Cricetulus griseus: one gene and its partners. The main gene of each other region encodes a partner of the protein of the gene in region 2 in a complex. Links are inferred from orthologs where the notes say so. Each region holds a gene or a part of one and is shown on either strand. Other genes may lie near its edges. The genes, in order: Prpf3, Lsm6, Usp39, Lsm3, Snrnp40, Lsm5 and Lsm8.

What was found.
Region 1: Lsm6 (region 2) and Prpf3 share a complex: the UniProt entries of both Homo sapiens proteins name them as parts of the precatalytic spliceosome. The link is inferred for Cricetulus griseus from reciprocal best matches to the Homo sapiens genes LSM6 and PRPF3.
Region 3: Lsm6 (region 2) and Usp39 share a complex: the UniProt entries of both Homo sapiens proteins name them as parts of the U4/U6-U5 tri-snRNP complex. The link is inferred for Cricetulus griseus from reciprocal best matches to the Homo sapiens genes LSM6 and USP39.
Region 4: Lsm6 (region 2) and Lsm3 share a complex: the UniProt entries of both Homo sapiens proteins name them as parts of the precatalytic spliceosome. The link is inferred for Cricetulus griseus from reciprocal best matches to the Homo sapiens genes LSM6 and LSM3.
Region 5: Lsm6 (region 2) and Snrnp40 share a complex: the UniProt entries of both Homo sapiens proteins name them as parts of the U4/U6-U5 tri-snRNP complex. The link is inferred for Cricetulus griseus from reciprocal best matches to the Homo sapiens genes LSM6 and SNRNP40.
Region 6: Lsm6 (region 2) and Lsm5 share a complex: the UniProt entries of both Homo sapiens proteins name them as parts of the precatalytic spliceosome. The link is inferred for Cricetulus griseus from reciprocal best matches to the Homo sapiens genes LSM6 and LSM5.
Region 7: Lsm6 (region 2) and Lsm8 share a complex: the UniProt entries of both Homo sapiens proteins name them as parts of the precatalytic spliceosome. The link is inferred for Cricetulus griseus from reciprocal best matches to the Homo sapiens genes LSM6 and LSM8.

What each region holds. Positions count from the first base shown.
Region 1 is NW_023276806.1:60,657,867-60,661,366, reverse strand, and holds part of Prpf3 (U4/U6 small nuclear ribonucleoprotein Prp3), read right to left. Parts: intron 2,946-3,500; exon of another isoform or gene 2,850-2,945; intron 2,211-2,849; coding exon 2,064-2,210; intron 525-2,063; coding exon 441-524; intron 272-440; coding exon 51-271; intron 1-50. UniProt on the Homo sapiens protein: Plays a role in pre-mRNA splicing as component of the U4/U6-U5 tri-snRNP complex that is involved in spliceosome assembly, and as component of the precatalytic spliceosome (spliceosome B complex).
Region 2 is NC_048596.1:154,693,812-154,697,876, forward strand, and holds the start of Lsm6 (U6 snRNA-associated Sm-like protein LSm6), read right to left. Parts: upstream 2,801-4,065; 5' UTR 2,663-2,800; intron 2,260-2,662; exon of another isoform or gene 2,241-2,259; intron 1,401-2,240; exon of another isoform or gene 1,331-1,400; intron 1-1,330. UniProt on the Homo sapiens protein: Plays a role in pre-mRNA splicing as component of the U4/U6-U5 tri-snRNP complex that is involved in spliceosome assembly, and as component of the precatalytic spliceosome (spliceosome B complex).
Region 3 is NC_048601.1:64,058,663-64,062,162, forward strand, and holds part of Usp39 (U4/U6.U5 tri-snRNP-associated protein 2), read right to left. Parts: intron 2,538-3,500; coding exon 2,470-2,537; intron 1,566-2,469; coding exon 1,377-1,565; intron 63-1,376; coding exon 1-62.
Region 4 is NC_048601.1:52,288,973-52,293,186, reverse strand, and holds the start of Lsm3 (U6 snRNA-associated Sm-like protein LSm3), read left to right. Parts: upstream 1-1,414; 5' UTR 1,415-1,543; coding exon 1,544-1,564; intron 1,565-4,060; coding exon 4,061-4,171; intron 4,172-4,214. Other genes in the region: Xpc (DNA repair protein complementing XP-C cells), read right to left, coding at 1,185-1,278. UniProt on the Homo sapiens protein: Plays a role in pre-mRNA splicing as component of the U4/U6-U5 tri-snRNP complex that is involved in spliceosome assembly, and as component of the precatalytic spliceosome (spliceosome B complex).
Region 5 is NC_048595.1:22,668,699-22,672,198, forward strand, and holds part of Snrnp40 (U5 small nuclear ribonucleoprotein 40 kDa protein), read right to left. Parts: intron 791-3,500; coding exon 670-790; intron 7-669; coding exon 1-6. UniProt on the Homo sapiens protein: Required for pre-mRNA splicing as component of the activated spliceosome. Component of the U5 small nuclear ribonucleoprotein (snRNP) complex and the U4/U6-U5 tri-snRNP complex, building blocks of the spliceosome.
Region 6 is NC_048601.1:84,604,289-84,608,588, reverse strand, and holds the start of Lsm5 (U6 snRNA-associated Sm-like protein LSm5), read right to left. Parts: upstream 2,801-4,300; 5' UTR 2,725-2,800; coding exon 2,679-2,724; intron 1,760-2,678; coding exon 1,664-1,759; intron 1,386-1,663; coding exon 1,358-1,385; intron 436-1,357; coding exon 363-435; intron 1-362. UniProt on the Homo sapiens protein: Plays a role in pre-mRNA splicing as component of the U4/U6-U5 tri-snRNP complex that is involved in spliceosome assembly, and as component of the precatalytic spliceosome (spliceosome B complex).
Region 7 is NW_023276806.1:207,804,434-207,808,429, forward strand, and holds the start of Lsm8 (LSM8 homolog, U6 small nuclear RNA associated), read right to left. Parts: upstream 2,801-3,996; 5' UTR 2,680-2,800; coding exon 2,649-2,679; intron 1,729-2,648; coding exon 1,688-1,728; intron 1-1,687. UniProt on the Homo sapiens protein: Plays a role in pre-mRNA splicing as component of the U4/U6-U5 tri-snRNP complex that is involved in spliceosome assembly, and as component of the precatalytic spliceosome (spliceosome B complex).

The DNA of each region.
Region 1 (3,500 bases), on a different chromosome or scaffold from region 2:
CTACTCCTAAAACTTCAGAAGTGATAAGGGATTCTGTGAAAGATACTCACGGTGGAGCTATACCCATGGCATGGAGATTAGCCAGGCCCACCATGTTGGCATTGCCAATAAGCCCTGGCTTCAAAGCCAGCTGGGCTTGAATTCGGGCTTGTAGTTCAGCTGCTTTCCTTGCCTTCTCAATAGCATCATTCATAAAAGTAGCGGCCTGGGAGGGCTGAATAGTGTTGCCAATTGGAAGTCGCTCTGGTTGGGAAGAAGAAGGTGTCTTTGGCTATAAGATAAAGATTAAAAGAAATCCAAGGGTTTGAAATAGGCATACAAATATATACACACCTTGATAGACTATGGTAGGTAATTGTGGCACTTTCTGGATTCTCATGTGAACGAATGACAACAAATCTTGTGCTAAATATTCTTTCAGAATAATCTGAACACAATACCTGAGGTGTAGGGGGGCTAATGAAACTCAGTTGTTTCTTCCTTTCCTCAATTTGTCGTGTTGCTGCCTCCATCATCTGTTTGATCTGTTCTCCAGAGGGAAAAATTGGAAAAGATCAATTTCTCCCATAAATGTTCCCAATGAAAATGCATTCAGTTCTAGAGACCTAAAAGTTTGTGAATGTTACACACACCCACTCACCCCCCACCCCCCCCACACACACCCCTGCACCTTAGAGAAGAAAATTCAGTAAAGAGTAAGGCAATGCTGGTTCACGCCTTTAATCCTAGCACATGTGAGGCAGAGGCAGGTGACTCTGAGGCCAGTCTGGTCTACCAAGCGAGTTACAGGACAGCCAGAGCTGTTACACAGAAACCCCCGTCTTGGGAGGAAAAAAAGAAAATTTAGCAAAGATAAGCCTATAAGATTAAGTGAGCTGGAGCGACGGCTCAGCAGTAAAGAGCACTGGCTGCTCTTCTGAAGCTCCTGAGTTCAATTCCCAGCAACTACATGGTGGCTCACAACCATCTATAATGAGATTTGGTGTCCTCTTCTGGCTTGCAGGCATACATGCAGGCAGAATACTGTATATATAATACATAAATCTTTTAAAGAAATAATTTAAAAAAATTAAGCACTACAATTTTTCAATCTTTCCCCCCAAGGTTGGACTGGTATATTAGGTAGTATACACCATTATGGTGACTGAAACTCAGGTAGTGAGTTTCGAACTGTGCCACTTCCTGCCTGTATTACATTGGATAAGGTTATGAATATCTTAACCTCCCAAGAATCTAAAAGGGGGGAAAGTAATGTATGCACACTTCCTACCAAATTACTACACAAGTGGGGGCAGGGTTGGAGAGATGGTTAAGAGCTAAAACACCAACTGTTCTTGCAGAGGACGTGAGTTCAGTTCCTAGCACCCACTCAGTGGCTCATGACCATCTCCTAACTAGTTCTAGGGGATCTGACACTTCTAATTTCCACAGGTTCCTACATGCACATGGTGTACATACACATACTTAAGCATGTAGACATAAAATGAAATATGCATTATTTTTAAAAAAAACATGTTTACCAGCCAGGAACGTTGGTACACACCTTTATCTCGGTACATGGGAGGCAGAGGCAGGCAGATCACTGTATGAGCCCAGTCTGTTCTACACACAGGGAATCACAGGCCAGCCAGGCTAAATAGTAAGCCTTGTCTCAAAAAATAATCATGCTATCAGCAGATCAATTTCTACTGTAGGTAACCATGGAGAAATGGTGCCAGCCTCTTTAGAGTTGTTTCTATAAACCCCTTGTTGTTTCCTAATGAAGTTCAGAAAGAGTCCTTGACTCTTAGGACATAGTCAAGTCTAGTGCTATCATTTCATTTAATTTCCCTGATGATAAAGTAGACAACTGGGTAAACAATGATGTACACACTAGGTATTCAATACATACAATTTCAATAATCCTTAGTTGGACTATTTCTGATCAAACCAAGGACTGCTAGAATATAAAGCAGGAAAAACTTCCCCAAATGGTTAACACTAATTCAAATGAAGATCACAGTGAACATGGACCAATGTTTTTTGTTTCAACTCACAACATCACTTTGCTTCTTTTAACTAACCTGGAGCTTTGTTAGCATGCCAGGGCTTTCTGATGGAGGCCCAGGGATCACCTCTGGCTCCTCTTCTACTTCCTCAAAACGGGGTATTCGCCGCTTCTTTACCCCTGATGATTCCTTTGAGATTTCAGAGTCATCACCGAACACCTCCTAAGGGAACCCAAGATGAAAGAAGAATCGTATCCCTCCCTAGGGAAAAAGGGAAGAACCATCCCGACCCTACAAGTATCCTGTGTTTTCCCAGGGGAATATGACACAATCTTTCATACAGCTTTCAAAGGGTCTTCTAGACTCTCCACCAAGTGGACCATTTCACCCAACTTCACCAATTTCCTACCCCATTCAAGCAAATTTCATCCCCATGTTTTTATAATGTTCCCATCTCAAGATCTTTGCCAATGCTACTGCCTACATTGAAGTGATCTTCCTCTAAATCCTTTCCCATAAATCCTGTCTAAAACTCACCTCCTCCAGGAAGTTTTGCTCATTATCATCTCATCCCACTCTGATCAACTGTTCTTCCACATCCTCTTAAGCACTTACAGCTTGGTTCATATTAGATTACATTATATTGCTGACACTGTTTGCCAAGTGTTAGGTAATACTTTCTCCCAATTAAAATCTAAGTTCTTTCAGAAAAGAGGCTTTTTCTTTTTTAGTATTCCCCAATAACATTTCCTTCTTATCATACAATGGGAACTCAAATATGTTGACTAATTTGCAAAATGAATTTAATAGGACCAAGAGTGGCCAACTGGAGGGACAATGGGAAAAAGCAAATGTACACACCGGTGGTAGGCTTTGGGTGACATCCCCTCTTCACTAGGAGGGCTCGTGTTTTGCAAGGACATATCCTCAGCCAGGGGCGAGCGCTTCCTGGAACTCCTACAGTTCAAGAAAAAGGACTCTCCCATAATATATTGTGTGGAGTGGGGACTTGAATGGACCAAAAATGGGACCCATATCCCATGCTATCTAGATTCTCCCTCAAGAAACCATTTCTACTATCCCACCCAATGTTGTCAATGCATTCAGAGCGTGAGCTTGGCACTTACAGTGGCATAGTACTATCATAACATAATCTTCAGTGTGGTGATCTGTTTGTGAACTAATCATACCTCTTAAGGTTAACACAAGTCTGAAATTCTATAATCAGTTCTAACTGTTACTCAGGTTTTATAATCTGTGGCTGATTTACTGCAACTCCTCACTTTTAAATTGCAGACTAATTTCAGGTAAGGACCATATCTGATTTCTCTAATCACCCTATGCTGTAAAAACCAAAGGGAAAGGAGTTTCTATATAGAGTCTTGAACCTATAATGTGGCCCCAAGCCCCAGGCAGTCACTACTTATCTTTTTGTGTCTCAGGACCAGCAATTGATACCGAGGTATCTAAAGCACTTTAGAGTGAGTATGATGGTGCGTGCTTAGAATCTTA
Region 2 (4,065 bases):
CTACAAAGATGCCTGTTCAGACACAGATTGCTGTAGCTAACTCAGCCAAAAGGCTGTCCTTTGCTTTTTGTTTTTATTGCTTTTATTCATTTGTTTTATTTAGTGGGGCAGGGGCAATAAGCATATGCCACAGGATAACTTTTGGGAGTCTGTTCTCTCTTTACACTAAGTGGGGTTCAGCAATTGAGTTCGGGTTGCCAGGCTTGACCATAAGCACTTTGACATCAAGTTGCCTACGGTAATTCCTAAGAGCAAGTTGTTCTCAACCAAAGGTGATTTTTGTGCCCCACCCTCTAGGAACATTTGGAAATGTCTACAGACATTATGTATTGTCAAAGCGGGAATCAGACTCTAGTGAAGAGAAGCCAAGGACATCCCTCAACAGTCTACAGTGTAGAGCAGTGGTTCTCAACCCTCCTAATGCTGCAACCCTTTAATATAATTCCTCATGTGTGGTGACCCCAACCATAAAATTATTTTCATTGCTACTTCATAAATGTAATTTTGCTACTGTTATGAATCATATGTAAATATCTGCTATGTGATCTCCATGAAAGGGTCTTTCATGGACTCGGCCCACAGGCTGCGAACCACTGGTGTAGAGTCTAGTCCTTTACAACAAAGGACTATATGATGCAACGTGTCAACTCACAGAATGACTGCCACTACCACCTCCTCCCCTCCTCTTCAAACCTTATTTTCTGGTTTAAACAACAAGCAAGGTACTTTAGAATAATCAAGATGTAAATGAGAACCAGATGATGAGTACATAAACTAGTCACCTCTCCTTATCTGTGTATCCAGCCAACATCTAGTAACATGAAGTTGCAATTACAGCTCCAATGGTTTTACCTGTTACAGAGCTAAAGGGCTTTTCCCTTGTCATTACTCCCTAAGCAATATTCCATTGCAACCATTTACATCCTATTACACATTGTGAGTGATCTAGAGATGATGTGAACAACATAGGAAGACTGCATAGGTTATATGCAAACACACATATGGAACTTTGAATATCCATGCACTTTTTAATATTGGGAGCTCTGTACCCAGTCCCTCTCAGATACTGAGGGACAACTGTCTTACTTATCAGGAGTATTTTATCCCAACACTGAGAACCTGAAAACAACCATTAAAATCTTGAATGGGTTGGCATTCTAATAAATTTCTAGTTCTGGACACACAAAAAAAGTGACTTTTCTATTTTCCAGTCCTTCATTATAAAAGGAGAAAGCAAGCCAGGGAATTAAAAAAAAAATCAAATAAAAAAAATTCTATTAGGCCACCCTTCAGTGAGAGAAGACCTGATGCAGTAGTTAAGGGTACTCACTTGGGAGGCAGGTAACCTGTATTCTAATCTCCTCTGCTACCCATCTCACCTCTCATGGCCCCAGGCTCATCTGAAAAATAAGGGAGTTATGCTAGATGGTTACTGACTATGTCTTTCTGTTCCAGCATCTGGTTAACTTGTGCAGTAATACCAACACACACACAGTTAATACCAACACACACCGCACACACACACACACACACACACACACACACACACACACACACACAACACACACACACACACACAACACACACACACACACACACACGGGGGAGGAGGAGGGGAGAGACAGGAAGGGAGGGAGGAGGGAGGGAGGGAGGGAGAGAGAGAGAGAGAGAGAGAATACCAGTAAGCACGTGGTTAAGTTGTGCAGTAATACCAACACACACAGTTAATACCAGCTCTCTCTCTCTCCCTGCCCCTCCTACGAAGATTCGGCAGGAAAACCTTGATGGCAGAACGACAGGCATTACAATAAAAAATAACAATGCCTGAAGTAACCCCGGAACCACAACTGCTGGAAGATCCAAAGTTCAAGGCCAGACTGAGAAACTCCGTGCAAGTTTAAACGAGATCAGTAACGATTCCAAAGAGAGGCTGTACTCTGCTACTGTTAGAAACACAGGAGGCGTGTTCACGGATTTGGTGAAAGAACCGGTGTCACACACGAACGAGGTAATTTACTAACACTTTAAAGAGAACCAACCCGGCAACGTGCAAGAACTATCTAACCCAATGACTTCTCCTCTGAGAACTTGTCCAAGGAGATGGTGAGAAATAGAGTCAAGGGCGGGAAGTGCATCCCAGGATCGCATGGACGCTAAGATGAAGCCATCGGGGAAACACCGGAGTCACTTATGGGACCCAGGCAATGACAAAACAAAAGCAATGAATGTTAAAGTTACACCTGGCTGCATGTGTTTAACGTAGACAGAAGACCGAGTATTTCTGGTAGTACTAGCGGAAAGAGAAGCAGGCACACACAGGAGGAGAGGAGTGGGCAGACGGAAGCGCCCAGCAGGGATCCTTTCCCCGGCTCCTCGTGTCCTCGTGTGGAGGGACTCGAGCGCGCACGGAGGAGGGGGGCGCGGGAGCGGCGGCCGCCTAACCCGGGCTGACACAGCCGGCGCCCGGCGCGCGCACGGCAGGACCGCACGGCGCGGGAGCGCGAGGCCGCGTGGCCCTGACGGCCTTCCGCTGCTCGCAGGCCGGCCTGGGCTCCAGCCGCAACCCCGCCCGCCCCGGCCCTCCGCGGCCTAGGCCGACCGCTCCGCTCCAAGCACCCACCCGCCCCACCGCCCCTCCCTCCCGGGCCGCGCGCGGGCTCACCTCGCAGCCGGATCCGGAGCCCTCACAGGCCGGGCCTCCGCGGACGCGCGCGGCGAAAACCGAAACCGCCCCCGGCAGCGCGCTTCGCTGCCTCACCCAATCAGCGGCCTCCTTGCCTACGGCAGCCCGCGGGGACCAAAAGGATCAGGCCGTTCCATAACGCTCACTTCCAAGAATTGGTTTCTTCAGTGGTGAATTCAGCATCCAGGGGCTGAAGTAAATGCCGGTGTTCTGATGTTGCCGTCTTTTTTTTTTTTTTTTTGCCAGAAAATCGAATCAAAAGCAAAACAACCAAGAAAAAAAATTTAGAAGTAATCTTTTGAGATTCCAATACAGTAAAGAATACCTTAAAAATGACAGGAAACAGAAACTTACGATTAAAATAATAGGCTATTAAGTACCCCAAATAGCCTTAAATAATTTAAAGCAAATAAAAGTTAAAAGCCTCAAGCTCCCAACCGACTTCTGAATATTAATTAAATGTATGAAGTTTAAGTTACTGTTAGAGATTGTTTCCATAGCAATTTTGCTACAAAAATATAAATAATTTAAAGCAACTCTATTACAATGGCGCCAATTGTAAAAAGACATTACAAATTAGTTTAATTGGAAACAGCATGCAGATACCATTTAAGTGCTGTGGGGGAACTTGGTTGGGGATAATGCATGAATTCTTAGTGTATGCTGACTGTTTATGGAAGGAAGAGATTACAGGAAGACTTGATTCCTTTTTTTCTACACCCATGCTCTCATTTATATTTTACATTTATATTTTAATTTCTCTTTTATATTGTATTTAAGATTTATATTTTAATTGTTTCTGATGTTTAATCATCAACACAGTTATAAGACCTTCAAACAACAGCTACACACCCTGTTAGATCTTACAGGTCCTACAATGCAGAACTTTTTCCTGAGACAGAAAGTGGTTCCTCCTTTCCTAAGAGCCTCTTAGTGAATGGCGAAAGAAACAGACCAGTGACTGGTGCCACAGACAGAGAACTGGCTGAGATTTGGTAAGGAACAGCCATATCTTTCTATCCTCTGTAAAACCTCAGCTGACTCGAAGACCGTCAACTACAGACATTGATAAGACAGCATTTTAGGCTCTTGAAATGTAAAATATAAAATTAAGAACACAAGTAAAGTCACATTTAAATCAAATAACTGTCTGCAGAGAAGAAAAGTGCTATGCCCTGTCCCTAAAACAGGCTGCTTTGTAAATCAAACTGGAAGCTGAGGATTTGGCTCAGTTGATGGCATGCCTGGTGTGCATTAACATCTCTGGCACCACAGTGGTGGGCACAGCAGTGCACACCCAAGTGTGGCTTCAGGAGGATCAGAAATCCAAGCTCATTTGAGGCTACAAAATGAGTTTGAGATCAGCTGGGCTATTTGAAACC
Region 3 (3,500 bases), on a different chromosome or scaffold from region 2:
TATGGAGGCAGCTTGGTGAGCTGGAAGCGCTTCAGGAAGTTCTCCTTGTAAGTCTTGTATTCCTGGAAAGAGTTTGGTGACATCAGTGCCAGCATTCAACAGGGGCCTGAGCTTTGTTCTGGTTTTTAAACATAGCTCTGCATCACACCTAGAGATCAGAAGACACCTAGTCCCAGAAATCACCAAAGAGGCTAAGATCAGCAATGTGGCAAACACTGAGTAAGATATAATGGGTTGCTTCAGTATATGATCACATTGCTAGAACCAAGGCTACATAAAGAAACCCTGTTTCTGGGCTGGAGAGATGGCTCTGTGGTTAAGAGCACTGACTGTTCTTCCAGAGGTCCTGAGTTCAATTCCCCGCAACCACATGGTGGCTCACAACCACCTTGAATGAGATCTGGTGCCCTCTGCTGGCATGCAGGCAGAAGACTGTATAGGTAATAAATAAAATTAAAAAAAAAAAAAAGAAGTATGTAATTTAAAAAAAAAGAAACCCTGTCTCCAAAAAAAAAAAAAAAAAAAAAGAGTCCAGCATCATCATGATACTGCCCCAACAAATTGCTACTGAGACTGAATTAAGGGTAAGTGCCCATATTATTTAAAAGACAAAACAAAAACAAACAAACAAAAAGAGCAAACTAGACAAATTAAAAGTAATTGTTGGAGCTGGAAGTGGTGGCCCATACTTGTAAGCCAGCCCTTGGATGGAGGAAGGACAATCAAGAGCTCAAGGCTGGGGCTGGAGAAATGGCTCAGAGGTTAAGAGCACCGACTGCTCTTCCAGAGGTCCTGAGTTCAATTCCCAGCAACCACATGGTGGCTCACAACCATCCGTTATGAGATCTGGTACCCTCTTCTGGTGTGCAGATATACATGGAAGCAGAATGTTGTACACATAATAAATAAATAAAATCTTAAAAAAAAAAAAAAGAACTCAAGGCTGGTTCTGACCACACAGCAAGTTCTAAGCTAACTTGGCTAAATGAGACCTTATCTCAAAAAAAACAAAACAAAATATTTTTTTTTAAGATGAGATTTCTGTATATCTTGAGTTTCCAAACATCTAAATTTCCTACCTTTCTATACATTACTCAGAGGCAGGCAGGAGCCATGTAAGAAGGGGCTCTAAAGTTAAGAGTTAAAACACCAGAGAGGCTGGGAGAATTGAAAAAAGATTAGATTAAGTATATGATATTTATGTGGTGATTCTGAAATGTAAAAAGACAAAGAAACTGAGGAGTAACTAGTCTGTAGAGCACTTGCCTTCCACTTCCGAGGCCCTGTTGTCAACACTGAAAAGAAGGTAGGATGCTGGTGATGAGAAAGTTAAAATACAAACCAAGAGAAAAGGGCAAGGATGGTAATTTGGCTACCTTCTCGGTGATGCCGTTGAACTTGGCCAGGATGTTGAAGAGCGGCACCTGGGGGATAATGAGCTGCTCCTTCTCATCCTTGTAGAGTGGGGCAGTGGGAAGGTCCAGTGTCAGGTACATGAACGTGGACTCCACCATTGTCTCTTGGTACTCATCATTATGGAGCAGCTGCTCTTTCTCTTCCGCTGGCTAGAAATAAATGAGAAGACAAAAGAGGAGAGGATTGTGAACAGAATGAAGCAAACCCACAGAAGACACAATGCTCGCACACATCTTCCCTAGTCCAGAGCCCAGGCAGCTGTATTCAGAACCACTGCCTGACAGTATTAATTAAAAAAATGGCATGTGTGCACATGCCTGTGGTCATGCAACTACAAAGGAGGAGACCTTCAGGAGGGGAAAGAGGGTAATGGAATACATAGGACATGAAGCAAAAGGAGGAACTATTTGTGGAAAAGAAACCTGCCAGGAAGAGGGCACTGAGAACAGCAGAGGGCAATAAAAGAGGGTGATTGGGGCTGGAAAGATGGCTCAGTAGTTATGGACACTGGCTGCTCTTCAAGAGAACCTGGGCTTAATTCCCAGCATCTACATGGCAGCTCAACTGTCTGTAACTCCTGTTCCAGGAAATCTGATACCTTTACATCAATTCACATAAAGTTAAATAAATTATATCTTAAAAAAAAAAAAGAAAGAAAAAGAAGTGTAATGACACATGTGTTTGGAAACACCACTCTCAAACCCGTTACTTTATAGGCCAACTTTTAAAGAAAAAACGAATTGCTTTCCTCTTTGGAAGGAGTTTATTTATACACCATACTATTTAAAAAGTTCTCCAATTACACAAGAAGCTCAGCTGAGCCTTCGAAAAACACACCAGTACCACTCATCGGTCAACCTGTTTCAACCAACAGACTACCAACTACAAAGGCTGAAGCTCACAGTCCATGACCACTATGGGCACAGAACCAGCCCTCAGTAGGTGCTTTGTGAACTCCTTTGTGGGGTTCATTCTGTCTGTTCTCTAAGTTCCTGCTTCCCCAAGCCCCTCAGGAAACATGTATCAGGCTAAAATTCTGTCCTGGACACTCACCAGATCAGGATGAGGAAGCTTTTTGGTGAATATTCTCATTGACCCCTGGAAAACATCAGTCACAATAGCTGTGCAAACAAAAAAAAAGCAAAGTACAAAGTCTTTGAGGCCAGAAAGCATGTCAGAACATATTCCCAACCTGTAAATTTCTGGTATAAACCACAACACCCTAACAGTGTAAGACTCAAGCTCTGCCTAAGCACAGAAGCTTCGCTTGGTAACATATGTCATCATGGAACCTACATAATTATTTCTCTAAGTAATTACATTTTATCTCCTCTACAGGACACTCTTTCACCATTGGGCTGGGTCATGAAAGGGGAAAATGTACATTTGAAATGAATGACTTACACAGCTTAAAGACAGAATCATTTTAAAAAGAGAGAGACCTGGAGAGATGACTCAGAAGCTTAGAACGCTTGTTGCTCTTACGCAGAGAACTCAGGTTTCGTTCTCAGCACCCACATGGTGGCTCAAAACCATTCCAGAGGCTCAAACGCCATCTTTTGATCTTTGACCTCTGAGGGAACCAGGCACCTGTAGAAAGTTAAGGCCTACCAGGCCAAGAGATAAGCTAACCTGGAGCTCACCTGGTGCTGTCGGAGGTCCCTAGCCAATGAGAGATGACCACATGATGTCAACGGATCAGAATCCAGGTGCTCGGAGGGTATATAAGGTTCTCCCATTGCTAAATAAACAAGTCTGTTGTTTTTCCTCTCAACTGACTCCTAGTGTCTGTACAGTTGACTCCTCGCCTTCTCACCCCCTCCCACAGGAAGCCATTAGGACCCAGCAACAGGCACCCACATGGTGGCTTGCAACCGTTCCAGAGGCTCCAATGCCATCTTTCACCTCTGAGGGAACTAGGCACCCACATGGTACACATAGCAAAAAGCAGGCAAAACATTCATACTCATAAAATAAATAAATCTTTTTTTAAAATTCAGTCAAAACATCGAGTAGAAGTGGGTGTGGCAGTTCTCAGCAATAAACTTAGCACTTGGAAGGTGGAAGCAGGAGGATCAAGAGTT
Region 4 (4,214 bases), on a different chromosome or scaffold from region 2:
CAGTTCTGGGGAATCCAACACCCTCATCTATTTAACATCTGCAGGCATGGCCCACACATTGTGCACAGACATGCATGCAAAAAACATATGCATAAAATAAAAAAATAGTAAAGTGTTTTTTCAGAGATGTAAACAAGAGAAAGAACAAAATAGGTTAAGAAGGGAAATGAGCTTTGTTTTTATGAAGCTTACATTGTACTCAAACAATCAGAAATGAAGATGACTGTAGAATGATAGGTGAATAGGAACATCACTGTGATTCTGTGGTGGAGGATACCTAGGAATGACTACTTTAAGATGACCGTGGAATGTCTTAGACCTCAAGTAGAGAAGAAATTAGACCCAGCAACAGCGACGGAGAACATTCTAAGGCAAAGAAACATGGAAGGCCAAGCCTCCAGATAAATAAACAGTATATTCAAAGAAGAGAAAGGCAGTCACCAAGAGCCATCTGTAATCCCTGTGATCATGAGGATGAGACAGGAAAAACCCAGAGCTCTAGGCCGGGCTGCTGTTTAAAATAAGAATATCTGGAAGAGAGACATGCTAAGTGAGGTAGATGCTATACACGGAGAGCACACATCTAAGAAGGTTTTAAGTAAGAAGACCAAGGCATATGAAGTTTTGTTGTCGTTCTACATCACTTGGCTGCTGGATGGAGATCTGATGTAGAGGGGAACTCACTCAACTAGAAAACGACAGGAACAGGATACCAGCTATGAAATTAAGAGAATTAGGCACATATTTCAGTGACTCCGAAGCTGAACTGGACCTCCTGACGAACTAGCAGTTAAGAAAAGGCGTGTTTTAACAGGTGGGTGAAGGAGTGATTTATTGAGATGGGAATATTTTAAGCTTCTCCTTGGTTCAAGACCAAGGTAAGAAGCGCATCGCAAACCTGGGGCCGGAATTACAGTGGATGCAACTTGGAGAGAGATTCTCACACTACAAGGTCTCCCTCTGTCCTAGTTTTGGTGTCTCTCTGACACCGGGCAACAGGGAAGCTTTTTCCTGATCGGCCCTCAACACTTGCCAAGAGGCTGGACTTGGTCCTAGGGGTTACGGTGGGGTCAGGGCTGATGGTAGAGGCCCTCGGGGCGCCGCGCATCCGGCCGTGGAGACCTTCCGCCCCGCTGCCCGCCCCAGCCTCCGCCACCATCGCCTTGCGCGCCGCAGCCTCTCACCCGCCTCGCTCTCCTCCGGCCGGGCTGCTTTGTTGTTCTCGGCTTCTCGGCCGCGCCCCCGCCGCCTTCCTCCCGCAGGGCGCTTCGGAGCCATGCTGCCCGGCAGCGACACTCCGGGCTACCGCAGCCAGCCGGCCGCAGACACTCTCCGCGTGCTCGCCCCGCCCCGAGGCGGGCCATGCCTGGGCCGCGCCCCCTGACCAGGTTGGGACCACGCCCTCCGGAGAAACCCCTCCCCCTGCAAACTACAGGGGCGCAAAGGGACAAAAATAAAGTAGGTCTACTTCCCGAGAGTGGAACCCTTTGCGTTTCTGAGTGCCTGTTCTCGCGAGAGGTGGAAAGGGCGCAGCGTTTGAAACATGGCGGACGACGTAGATCAGGTAAGTTTGTCCGGAGGCGCTCTTAGAGGAAGCGCTTGCGCTTCCAGGTCGGGTTCGCGTTTTCCACGCTCGCTGAGAAGCGGCCCGTCTCTCTTTGTCCCGAGGAACCACGGCCTTCCGTAGCCGCGCCGGCTCCTGAAACTTCCGCAGGCCTAGAGTTTTCTCAACCCGCCTATCTGCCCATCACGCTCGGCATCGGCTTTTATCTGTAAAATGCAAACGGCTGTCGACACCAGACAGAAAGCGTGAGGTAGTGGTGGACACCAGCTTTGTAATACGTGCAAGCGCCTGGTGCGCAGGCAGCGGCTCACTTGGAGTGCAGTAGGAGGGAGGGAGGGAGGTAGAGAACCTGGTGGAGATGTAGTCTGGAGAAAGCAAGCCAAGATCGGGTGCACACAGGATCACAGGCTGCCCTCTTCACCTGCTCTTCCCCCTATTCCTTAGCTACCTGTGGAGTTCCGAAATGATTGCACTCCCTCACACGCACACGCACCCACACACGGGTATTTAAAATAACAGAGCATGTTATTTTAAATATGTATTTCTTTATCTGAGACATTTCTTCCATAACTAGAACGTAAGTTACTTAATAGGGGCATTGGGGCGGGGGTGGCTGGAGAGGTTGCTTTAGGAGTTAAGAGCACTTGTTGCTTTTGTAGAAGACCATGGTTGGGATCCAGCACCCACATGTTGGCTTAACAGCACCCCAACGCATCTTAACTCCAGTTGCAGGAGGGGATCCTCTGCCCCCTTCTGGCCTCTGCTACCGAGCACTGTGTCAGCGTGTGGTGCACATGCATACAGGCAAACTGCTCACATACACGATAAAAGTAAACCTTTAAAATAAAGGGGGGTTTTCTGTGTTTGCTTTTCTTTCCTAGGTTTAGGACAGTGCTGTTAGCACTCAGCAGGTTATTAGTTGAGGGAACGAACCCAATGTTCAGGGGCAGCTTCTTTGAAAAGGCAGAATGTAAAGCTTACAGGGTGAAAAGGATTGACAGTGGCCATCCTAGACTGAAGAGGGCTGTCGTGGGAACAGATTTCATTGTTTTGCAGCTATGTATTTATATGCCCCTCTCCATACTAGAGTGAGCTCCATTGAGGGGATGCGGCTTCTGTATTGTTGTAATCCAGTGGTTGGTTGTCTGATTTCTTAACAAAAGCCTGCTGAGCTAAGGTGGGAGGAGGAAAGCACCAGTTGAGATCCGGGGTTGGGGGTGTTCTGGGAGGGTTGTTTGTTTCCTGTCATCAGCCTCATATCTACACAGCCTACAATTTTCAGCTTTCACTGACCCCAGGTACTCACTGGAGAAGCTTGCTGAATGGTCTTACTAATTCTTGATGGCTGGAACCACCTCTTTCATATAGCTGAATCCAGGTCATCCCAGTTCTAACCTTTGAAACCTGTTCCAACAGTTCTTGAAGAGTAATTCTGATTTATCATTCCTCTGAAATGACTGACCAAGAATGCATTCTTAAATCTTGAAGCAAGCAAGAGATTATATTAAATATAAGAAATTACAGGTGCTGGGAGTGGGGCTGGTAAGATAACAGGTAAAAATGCTTGCAGTTTGTAAGCGTGACAACCTGAGTTCAATTCCTGGGACACACAGAGGAAGGAGAGAACTTTATAAAGTTGTCTTCTGACAGCTACTTGAACCCCATCACACACACACACACACACACACACACACACACACACACACACACACACTCTTAAAAGTTCCAGACTCGGTTCATACCTGCCCAATCCCAGCATCTGAGAGGCAAAGACTTGCTGCTCATCAAAGGCTGTCATGGGCATGCCTCTTAAAAAAAAAAAAAAAGGTAATTATTTAGAAGTGTTTCCTTTTTACTTCAGATAGACCCTTTAGTCCTTATAAGATCTCTGAGGCAAAGATGTGGTCTCCCCAGTTTGCAAATGAGGAGTCTGAAACAAGAAATGGCATGATTTTTAATCCCAGTTCAGAAGAGCCAGGTCAGAACCCAGAATTGAACAAAGGCTTCCTAATGACTCAGTTCTTTTAACTTCTATACTATACTACTCGGTAGGTAGGTTCATCTTGCCAGCCAATTAGCACCCTAAACTTAACCTGCGCTGTACTGACTTCAAATTCTGTCAGATCTTTTTAGTAGTGTGTGAATAGGTATTGCAGGTATGTTTTTCAAATGATTGAATTATACAAAAGATAAAGCTAAGGTTCCTAAGTGGTACTCTAACACTTTGGATTTTTTGGAAGTTCAGTCATCATTTTGCTACTTAACTCCTCTCCACATAATGTTTTTCTCCTCTTTTACATAGCATCGAGGCACCGTTCTAAGCTTTCATATGTCATTTAAAATAATAGTATTGGGGAGACACTATTTTCTGCATTTGGCAAATTAGACTAAGGTATAAACGGGTTATGTGACTAGCCCTTGGTTTCACTGCTTAACAGTGATTGAAACACCACTCTGCCTCTGGTGGTCCATTACTAAGTGTGTTTCCTTCATCAGCAACAGACTACCAATACCGTAGAGGAGCCCCTGGATCTCATCAGGCTCAGTTTGGATGAGCGAATTTATGTGAAGATGAGAAACGACCGAGAGCTTCGAGGCAGATTACATGTAAGTCTTTTAAATTATCTCAAAACCAGATGTTTCCCTATCA
Region 5 (3,500 bases), on a different chromosome or scaffold from region 2:
CTCGCACTACAAAGCAAATCCAAACCAGTCAAGCAACAAACACAACTATGAGCCAGCAGCTTCCATGTCAGTAACAAATACTGTCTCCTTCATGAGGAGGACCAATACAACACAATACTAATTGCTAAGGCTCTTTTTAATCCCCCCTTTCTTTCTTTCTTTTTTTTTAAAAGATTTTATTTATTATGTATACAACATTCTGCTTCCATGTATATCTGCACACCAGAAGAGGGCACCAGATCTCATAACGGATGGTTGTGAGCCACCATGTGGTTGCTGGGAATTGAACTCAGGACCTCTGGAAGAACAATCGGTGCTCTTAACCTCTGAGCCATCTCTCCAGCCCCTCCCCCTTTCTTTTTGAGACAGGGTTTCTCTGTATAACAGCCCTGCCTGTCCAGGAACTCACTCTATAGACCAGGCTGGCCTTGAACCCAGAGATCCGCCTGTGTCTGTCTCCCAAGTGCTGAGATTGAAAGTGTGCAACATCACTGCCCAGCTGCCTTCGAGTCCCAGGATCAAATTCAAGTAATCTAGTCTGAATGTAGATAGTTTAACTAGCTGAGTCCAATCACTGCTTCCCCAATGCATTTCATTTAATACCAACTCCTCCTCCCTTTTAGGGTCAACAGACACTAGCCCAAGAACAGCTTTGTTCTCCAAAGTTACCTGTATTGTCCATTGCATTGGACAAGAGATAAGATCCCTCAGAACTTAAACTCAGGCCGGTGACAGAATCTGCATGGCCTCTCATGGTATAGGTTAACTTGTTTTGACGCAGGTCCCAAACCTATAAAAACACAAAACTGCACTCAATATTCAAATTGAAAAACAGCAGAGAAAGGCCAGGTGTGGTGGTGCACACCTTTAAGTTCAGCACTCAGAGGCAGGAGGATCTCTGTGACTTTGAGGCCAGCTTGTCTACATAAGTGAGCTCCAGGACAGCCAGGACTGCATAGACACTATCTTAAAAAAGAAAGAAAAGAGAAGTAGAGACACGATGGCTCAGGATTCTAGAAGCAGAAGCAGGCAGATCTCTGAGTTCAAGGCCAGGCTGGCCTACAGAGACAGTTCCATTACAAACAGGGTCACATAGAGAGACCTTACATTAAAAATAACAGTAGCCGGGCGTTGGTGGCACACGCCTTTAATCCCAGCACTCGGGAGGCAGAAGCAGGTGGATCTCTGTGAGTTTGAGACCAGCCTGGTCTACAAGAGCTAGTTCCAGGACATCCTCCAAAGGCACAGAGAAACCTTGTCTTGAAAAAACAAAAAAACAAAAAACAAAAACAAAAACAAGGGGCTGGAGAGATGGCTCAGAGGTTAAGCGCACTGACTGTTCTTCCAGAGGTCCTGAGTTCAATTCCCAGCAACCACATGGTGGCTCACAACCACCTTGAATGAGATCTGGTGCCCTCTGCTGGCATGCAGGCAGAAGACTGCATACATAATAAATAAATAAAATCTTTATATATATATAAAAAAAAAAACCAAAAACCAAAAAACAAAAACAAAAAAACCCCAGCAATAAGAACAACAACAGCAACAAATAAATCAAACAAACTTGAGTCTGGGGAAAGGACTCAGAGGTTAAGAGTATTGCTGTACTGCCACAGGATCTGGGTTTGGCTTCCAGCATCACATGGTGATTCACAGCTATCTGTGACCCTAGGTGCAGGGGGTCCAGCGCCCTCTTCTCACCAACTCTGGCACCCGGCACACATGTGGTGCACATACGTTCATATACATCAAATAAAGTGTAAAAATCTAAAAAAGAGAAACACAACTATATATACCAGATGCCAGGCTTAGTGGTATATGTCTAAACCCAGCACTCAGGAGGCAGATGAAGAAAGAGTTTGAATTTGAGGCCAGCTTGAACAGAGTTCCAGACTAACTTGGCTATAAGGCCATCTCAAAAAAAAAAAAAAAAAAAAAAAAAAAAAAGCCAGGTGGTGGCTGCGCATACTTTTAATCCCAGCACTCAGGTGGATCTCTATGAGTTAGAGACCAGCCTGGTCTACAGAGTGAGTTTCAGGACAGCCTGGACTACACAGAGAAACCCTGTTTTTTTGGGGGGGGGATGCCAAGTGCACCCCTGAATTCCAGCACTTGGGAGGAAAGGCAGAGGGTCAGAAGTTCAAAGATACCCTTAGCTATATAGTATATTTGAGGTCAGAAGTCTCAAAAACAAAACTAAAGATCATCACTAGAGACAGAGGCAGGACTGCTGCAAGCTCCAGGTCAACCAGGGACAAAATCAGATAACTGACTTACTGAAAGTAATGCCCAAAATTATATAAAGTAAACATGAAACTGAAAACAACTAAGATTTTTCATCTTATAACATGTATATAGAAACAATACATATGTATGTATATGCATATATATATTTTTAGAAGAAAGAAAATGGAAAGCATGTTTAGGCAAAGAGTCCTTTGAGCCTCTTCTGGAAGACAGTCACAAGAGTATCTAGGAGTTCTGCCCTTCCCTGTTTGTTCATCACTGGGGTTCAAGTCCAGGGCTTTGTGCTCTACCACTGATTCCATCTCCAGCCCCAACAGTATATGCATGTCTTCTGTCTGTCTTTTGTATTTTTTGTGGTGGTGGAGATTGAGCATAGAGCCTCAAGCACAATAGGCAAGTGCTCTCTCATTGTGAAAGATTACAAGTAAGAATGCTTTGCATATGCCTGGTACATGGCAGGCTCTAAATATTATTTAGCAGTTCCTAAAATAACTCTAAAGCCAAAATATAAATATATTTACATAATAGGCGATTAAGCAAATATGTAAAAATAAACATTAAAATGAACAGAAATAGCCTGGATGTCACAAGGAAAAAGATTAGCAATTTTCTGAAGGTGATTGCTATTATAAAAGAAATTCATTTAATACTGCCATGTAATTTTTCTAAATGAATAAAATATATGATATCCCCTAAAGCATAGCACTTTCTTTTATTCAGAAAGGAGTTACGTGAATGTACTGATGTAAAAATTTGAATACTAGGGCTGGAGAGGTAGCTCAGTGTTCCAGAGTATCTGATGCATAGCATCCTTGGTCAGTTTCCAGTACCCACACTGGGTGGCTAGCAACTACATGTTAACTTAGCTCCAAGGGATCAGAACCCTCTTCTGCCTCCTAAAGGACACACACACACACACACACACACACACACACACACACACACACACACACAGAACCCTTTTATTTTTTATTTATTATTATTTGTTTGTTTGTTTTTTCAAGACAGGGTTTCTCTGTGTAGCTTTGGAGCCTATCCTGGCACTCGCTCTGGAGACCAGGCTGGCCTCGAATTCACAGAGATCCGCCTGCCTCTGCCTCCTGAGTGCTGGGATTAAAGGCATGCGCCATCAATGCCCAGCCCACACACACTTTTTAAAATACCCACTTTGAATCCCCTTAAATACAAGCCTACAATGCCAGCATTCAGAAGGTTAAGATGGGAAGATTGCAAGTGTGAGAACTTGCCACCCA
Region 6 (4,300 bases), on a different chromosome or scaffold from region 2:
ACTATCATACCACCTAAAACTCCCCATGTGCTCCTCATGGACCAAAGCCACCACTGTCTCTCCCCTATCCTTCAATTCCCATTTCCCAGATCATCAACATCTGCTAGTAATCCCAACATTAATTGATGCTTAAGAGTTTCAACAATGGTTCCTGATGAACTAAAGGTAATAAAGATTAATAAGCAAATGAATCTTAAGGCCCAATGCTCTTTCAATAGCTGCGTTGGGGCACTGATCACTGAAGGCTCCCTTCCCATCCTCAGCATGTCTAGACCGTGAACACTGAGCTAAGCAGCAGTGTTCTGTAATCCCTGCCCTATAAAAGTAATTAAATTCAAAATAAAACAGCTTTAATGTCTTACCATCGTTATATTATTTCCATTTAGTAAAATCTGATCTAATTTTGTAATCCTTCTTCCTTCTGGTGTAATTTCACTAAATAGATAAAAAATGGAGTCAGGATAAACAAGTATTCAAAGGCAATTATTTTGGAAACGCTTTTCCTCTCTAAAAATTATTCCTGGGGTAAAGAGGTTAGCTCGGTGGCAGAGCACCACCTGGGTGGCAGAGCACAAGGCCCTAGGTTCAATCCCTAGCATCAAAACTGTTATTCTTACATATGAATGAATGTGAACTCATACAATTACAATAATTTTCAGCAATACAGTCTGCCCACCAGATAATAGTTATGTAAATATAAAACTTCATAAATACAGAAGTAAATATAAAGATATATTACAAAGATATAATATAGAAGTAAATGTAAAGTCACTATAAAGCGTGTTTACACTAATTTCTTAGAAATTCAGGAATAATGACATTAAGATAATAATCTTCTGGCCCAACCTCACAAATACCGGTAAATAAGTCAGCATTAAAAGAATTCCAACAGGTAATACTTTATCCATCATACTAATCCTGCTATTGTAGTTTAAATGAAAATGGCCTCCACGGGCTCACGTTGACAGAACTGTTTGGGAATGGCTAGGAGGAGTGGCCTTGTCTGAGGTGTGTCACTGTGGCGGTGGGCTTTGAGGTTTCAAAAGAATAAATTATAACCAGTTGGCTCTCTGTTTGTCTCATGGTTATCTCAACATAGAATCACTTAGCTATTGCTCCAGCCCCACACCTGCCTGCCTGCCTGCCTGCCTCCACACACCTCACCATGAAAAAACGTGGACTCTAACCCTCTGAAACTGTAAGCAAGCCCACGCAGTAAACGCTCTCTTTTATAAACTGCCTTGGCCATGCTGTCTCTTCACAGTAACAGAAAAGGAACTAGGGTACCTGCCTTTAATTCAAAAAGATATTTCCTCCTCTCCTCCCCCATTTATTTGTCATTTTTAATACTACTCACAACTCTGTGACATCTTCCAACACCATATCTGAAATTTGTTGTTAAGAAAATAAACAAGGTTGAATTTATTCTGGTTTATGTTTTTGTTTGGTTGCAAAAATGTTCAACACAATGGTGCAAATTCAAAAGGTTTGTTGTTGGAGAGAACCCTATCTGCTTTCTGCAAGCACACCTCTTAAAATGTTACCAAGTTCCTGGAAAATAAATAATTTTTAATGTAATAAACAGAAATATGTCATCTGTCTACAGCTCTTATATTAATACATCTTTAAAAACCTGTTCCATGAACACTTTTTAAAAGGATACTGACAAAGTCATCAAATCCTAGAAGTGTACCAACAATTTCTTTATCACTCTTCATCACAATGTGAATTCTTGATCCTATACACTTGTCCACGAGCTCTGTGGAAAGAAAAAGATTGTTTTACCCACTTATTAGTTCAACAAGCATTCGAGTGCTCACTTTACTATTTCCGTATCATTAAAGAGAAACAAAAAGCAGTCACTAAATAACTACATCTTACACAAATCTCCGCTCAGCCATTAGCACAAATGTTTGTCTTGGCCTTCGCTTACCTCCTTTTTTGCTGCAACTAACGGGACTGTGATTTTGACTATTTGGTTAATGTATGAAAAACAATTACACCACAAGGTGGAAACCATGTTAGTTTTTCCTCATCAGTGTTTCTGCCGATGAACATACCCTGGAGTGGACCCTGCAAGAACTTTCCATCATTGCCACATTGACTAACTTCACCGGCGCCAAAACATGACAGAGGAGAGGCCTCACGACCGACACCAGCTTCCTGTCACTTCTCTCATCTTGCCTTTAGCTCTGTGCTTGGAGACCAACCTGAGCATCTCCGTGGCCAACCGAGAACTGCTCGGCACGAAGTCTTTCAGTGTGCTATCTGAAAGCAATGGCCGTAGTTTAAATTCGTTATTCAACAGTACCCTGGCACGGGGAGGGAACTGCTTGATGGATGGATGAATGAATGAATGAACGAACGAATGACGGAGCTAGTCTCCAGATTTCTTTCTAGGAGTCACTGTAGACCGTGGCGCCCTCCTCACACCGCCAAATGCAATACAGGGGCTCCCTAAGGTGTAGACCGGAAAGGCCACACTGCGAGCTGGGCCGGCACCGGGACATCTTAACCGGCGAGCTCACAAGCAAGGCCGAGGGCGTCCTTCACCAAGTGGGGCCCCCGCCGGCCGCCGACAGACAACGGGCTCGGTCTCCGCAGCGGCCCCAGGGGCAAGCCTCCGGCGCGGGCGTGGGGCCGCAGCAACCCGCCCGCGCCCCGGGCGAGACTTTTACCTAGCGGCAGGAGCTGAGACGGGTTGGTGGTCGCGTTAGCCGCCATGGCCACGCCGGAAGTGGCATAGGGCTACGGGCGCAGACTTTAAAAGAGCGCGCTTCCGCCCTTTCCCACAACTGGCTCAGACGGAACTAATCGGAGGCAGATCTGGCGATCGCGGGGTATCCAAATGGATCACCGACAGACTCGATAGAATAGTTCCGCACTATATCGGTGCCACCATCCCGTGCCCCCGAAGTTTTGCTAACTTGACAGTTTGTCTCCTCTATATCTGCCTGAAGACTACAACATACGAGATCTCTGAGTCGGCTAGTTTTCCTCTAAAAGGTTGGATCTTTCTTCAGAGCCATAAAATCAATGAGGATTTGCTATCACCAACTCGTTCTGCGTTTGTCTCAACTACTACTCATTTTCTTAAGGAATCCTGTACTTTTAAGCCTAGAGTACTGAAAACCCTTACGAAGCATCTTTTAAAAATATTCTATACCGAGTATTCAAAGGTTTTTTTTAATTTTTGCTACTTTATTTTATTCTGGTTTTTCGAGGCAGGGTTTCTCTGTATTGTTTTGGGGACTGTCCTGGAACTCGCTCTGGAGACCAGACTGGCTTCGAACTCACAGAGATCCGCCTGCCTCTGCCTCCCCAATGTTGGGATTAAAGGCGTGCACCACCAATGCCCGGCTTCTTCTTGTCCTTTTAGAAGTCTAGTTTATTGCAGGCTTTTGCAGTTACTAACACTTATTGATTTACAGGTAACTGCTAGATGTCACTCCGTATGTTGGTGTCATCACATTTGGAAAACATGCTATCACACTTGTGTTTTGGAAAAAGATAAAAAGCTGCTGTGAGGAGTGGCCAGCAATCCCAGCGCTTAAGAAACAGAAGGAGGCCACAGTTGCCAAGCATGGACAACTTAGTAAGACCCTGACACGAAATAGGAAATAAAAACTAATGAGAGCTTAACCACCTTGCTTAGCACTAGAGTGCTTTCCTAGCATTCATGACTTCATGAGACCTGGGTTGTCCCTACTTAAAAAGAAAAAAAAGCAGCAGGCAAATTCTTTAGCTTCGGTTGTCTCATTTGTGTCTGAGGGACTTAAACAATCTGAATAGGAGAGATCATAATCAACACCATTCATTTTTACAGTGTTTGGTAAGCACCCCTCATACACCGTTTAATTAGCAGCTCGCTGGGTATATAAAGCAATGTACAGAAAAGTCTTCTACAAGAGTGAGTGAGAAGAAGGACAAATAAATTGTATGTATATAGCACTATGAAGTTTAATAGATAAAGCAATGCCTCTAGGGATCCTTGGAAACTCCACTCCATTCTCAATTTCAAGCCAGTGGTGGCTTTTCCCCACAAACCCCATTCCATAAATCTCGTGTACCTACTAGGTGTCGGGGCAATTACAAATACATTCTTTTATTTTGGTTTTTCAAGACAGGGTTTCTCTATGTAACAGCCCTGGCTGTCCTGGAACTCACTTTGTAGACCAGACTGGCCTTGAACTCACGAAGATCCACCAACCTCTGCCTCCCAACTGCACAAATACACTCTTTACTGCCATCCTTTGAAACAAGAATCCTGATTAAGTTCCTTGTGCTTAAAGAAGTTAAA
Region 7 (3,996 bases), on a different chromosome or scaffold from region 2:
AATATAGTAGACATATGTAGAACCAAAATAATCAAGAACTTAACTTGAAGGAAATACTCAGGAAAAATTTTGTGGCTATAGCAAAATGTAATATAATGAATGCTGTTTAAGTTTCTGAAGAAATAGCTTCTTTTAGATTTGGCTGGTTAATCTCTTGGGTACACCTTTAAACCCCCCTGTTCTGAAAAACCATAATTGTATAGAATCTGAATGAAATAAATAGAAACTTGGAATGTAGAAATTGGGAAGAAAAACAAATTAGACTATTTATTATAGCACTTGGCAAATGGTAGTTATCATAAACCCCTATAAAGGTGCTCTCATCTTCATTATATATGCAATTATTTTATCAGGTACGATAAAGACAGAACTACTGAGTGTCAATACAAAGTTTCTGTTTAGCTTTTCTTCTATAAGCATTTTCTAACAGAAATATAAGAAATTTAAACCTGAGGATTTCAAAAATCAGTTATTTGTAAATTATCTGATAAATGCAACAGACTTCTTTCAATGTTTAAACAAACATATTCCTAATTTCACATTCCAAATTGCCTACTGTTGACAAATTTAGAGTGTAAACTCACCACCACTAAACAAAAAACCTTAAGACACCTGTTTCCTTTATGGGTTTTGGAATAAAACTCAATTTATAACACACTTGTTATACTGAATCTCTGTGAAAGTAACTTGGTTTTTTTTTTTTTTTTTTTTTTTTCTAAGCCTGGTTCCTAATCTACAATATAAGTGATAATTCTTCTTGAGATTCCTTGCAGACTAAATAACACAAAATTCCTAGCATATGATAAGCACTGCAATTACTATGGCAGTCTATCACTTTGACTGGTGTTGCTCACTAAAGAGCAAGAAGAATCAAAGGGATTCAGAAGAAGATAAGGAGGCTGAAGAAATGGTTAAAAGTATATACTATTCCTCCAAAGGACCTAGTGTGGCTCACAATGGCCTGTAACTCCAGCTCCAGTGGATCTGACAACTCTTCTGGGCTCCTTGTGTAGTGTACCACCACACATGGCAGACACTAACAAACAGACATACACTCAAACCTAACTAAAAATAAATCTTTAAGAAAACAAAATCACGAATGGGAAAACATGGGATTAAATTACAGCCGTGAAAGAAATATTGCAGAGACAGTAGATGAGGCAATGGTCCCAAAGATCATACCCCAGTGAAGTCACAGCTAACTTAGTTTCTGAAACCACTCTCACAATATTTGAAGAACAATGAAATCACTGAATACACATTTCTCAGATTGGATCTCCCCATTGTTAAGCAACTTACAAGAGCATATGCATAATTTGTAAATCCTTAAAGAGCTCTAAATGAAAACAAACAAAAGGAATTGAGGTTAAAAAAAAAAAAAAGAATGCAAGAAGAAAATTAGTCGGCACAGCTCTGCATTCCAGATCAGAAGACTTCAAGGTTTATTAGGGAAGCTGTATTGACAGCCAAGAGATAAAAGTCTGTCAAAACAGCTGGATCTCCAGCATACATGCGGGCAGAACACTGTGTACTTTAAATTTAAACATTCTTAAAAAAATAAAACAGCTGGATCATAAGAACACTAGAATCGAGGTTATACCGTGGTACCTCAGCATTAGATTAGAAACGTAACTTCAAATTTACAATCAATAAGCCTACAAAGAAGCAGACTGAAAATGCCACTCACCACAATCATTCTCCCATCAGAAGTGATAACGGCGACGGTTCCTGAGAACTGCGTCAAGGAAAGTATTTCTTAGAGATTGCAGAGTGAAAACTTTCAGCCTGGTAAGGAAATGGTCTCAATTACTTAAAAAAGAAAAAAGTGGCGGTATGAAGGTTCGACACAGCCGCTGCTCACGAGGTACAAAACTGAAGGTTTGAAACTTGTTTCAATTCTATCCTGAAAACAGTAAATCTAATGGGAGAAGGGTAGAGTCTGACATCTGACCCTGGGTTTAAAACAGCAATGGGTTCCAATCCCTAACACTGAGAGATACAATCCCTTCCTTTCTCAGACCAATGTCTTCACCTCTGAAATAAAAACTGGACGCGTAACTATCAATGTTGCACCGTTGTGGCGCGTTAAGCCCCCTCCCCTAGTCCAAGACCTGGTCATAATTAATGCCACCAAGTACAAACAACCCTGGATTCCTTAAAAGCTCTCTGCTTTGAACGCCTGAGTTTCTTGTCTGTACCAGATGTGCTCGGTGCACGGTTTCTGTCCTGACTTTGCAGCAGCGCTTGTAATTTAAAATCTCACCTGGGATCTTAAGAGCTCCTTGCCTGTCACTGAAGCCCAACACGATTCCAGGCTTTCCTTCTAAGGGTATCGCATGGACACTTCCAGGGGGGGCCCGAAATTCACCTTGGAGAACCAAGCACCTTTCTATGCATGCGAGCCTCGAGCCAACCGCAAGCCCTGAGAAAACCGGTCCAACTTATTCCCGACGCTGGCCCGCACAAGCCCTAAGGGATCTGCAGCAATCCAGCCAAAGGCTCCTTGCAGGGAAGCTGTGCCGGGTGAAAAGGGCCCGGGTCTGTCCGGATGACCCCACCGCCGGTCCCGAACCCCGAGTCCTCCCCGCCGCCCCGGGTCTCCGCCCCCGCCCCGCCCCGCCGCGGCCTGGGCAGCCGCCCGAGGATACGGTTGATGTAGTTCTCCAAGGCAGACGTCATGCTGCTGGGCCCGGAGGTCCCGGGAACAGGAGACAACCCGGCAACAAGGAGACGAGACACGGCCGGGCCGCCAGAAGCACGTACCGGTTCCCGCCGCCCGCCCGCCCGCCGGTGAGCACAGATACCGCGAGACCAACGAGTACCTAGCAGCCAATCGGCACTCGCAAGGAGCCGACCAAACCGGAAGCCGGGCGGGGACTGACTCGCGCGCGTGCGCAGCGTGCATCCGCCGCGCTTCCGGGTGCCGGTCGGTAGAGGGAGACGGACAAAGGCGGGGACGGGCGGAAGTGTGGGCTGGATGCAGGCGCTGGGAGGCTCGCCAGCGGAGGGGCGGGAGCCGCGGTCGTGTGGGAAGATCGGCTGTGCCGGAGACGCCCTAGATGAGATGTTTGCTCGTCCTTGGGAGGAAGGGAGCTCTAGCCTTCTCCAGCGCGAGCCAAAAAAAAGTTCCGAAAGACAAATGGCGCGGTGCAAAGCGAACGTCTTTGTAGCCCGCACGAGGTGCATTTCCAGGGAGAGCCCAGCTATCAAAAGTGCTCGTGCATTCTGCTTTTGGCTCTTCAGGTGTCACGAAGCAGCCTTAAGGAAACGAACTCCAGAGAGGGAAAGGTGTGCGCGATAGATGGTCACTTTGCACGGCTAAATCGAGGCTTAGCTTTTCTTGGGGATGAAAGTTGTAATTAAGAAAGTCTACATTGCCACTCTGAAGGGACCGATTAGAGGAAAGCGTAAACTAAGCACCAGGCTGGGTTCTAATTCTATCCCTGATAATTGATGTCCCTGTTGTAAAGTCACTTAAACTCCTCTTGATCTGATTTCACTTAGATGCTGTACAAATGTGTTAGTCAGTCAACCGTACATAACCAATATTTTAAAATTTTAGTGTGTGTTGAAAGGGGAAAATTAATAAAATCTAAAACCCAGACTCCAAAGCCCAAAAAGAAAACTCAGTTCCCAAAAAGCAGTCCAGCAGACAAGGTTAAACAAAGGGCCTCAGGACTCAAGCCCTTAGACCAGATATCACACCCTAGAATGGCACTCACATTCCTCTGGTCCAAAGAGGATCAGATAGTTATCAATTGTAGAAGTCCCCAGCCCAGGAGACTATTAACAAACCCATTTCCTCTGCAGTATCCTGCTTAATTAAACCTTGCATGAAGCATAACAATCTTTGTCCTGTCCTGTGTAACTACTGAAGTTATGTAATCTTGGGGCTTCCAGCCCTACAATTTTCCCTTTTAAAAACACCCCTCAGTCGAAAGTGGGTACTCCTTTGTTCCCAAACGAATGGGGTCCTTGCTGCAGCTGGTGTCCTTG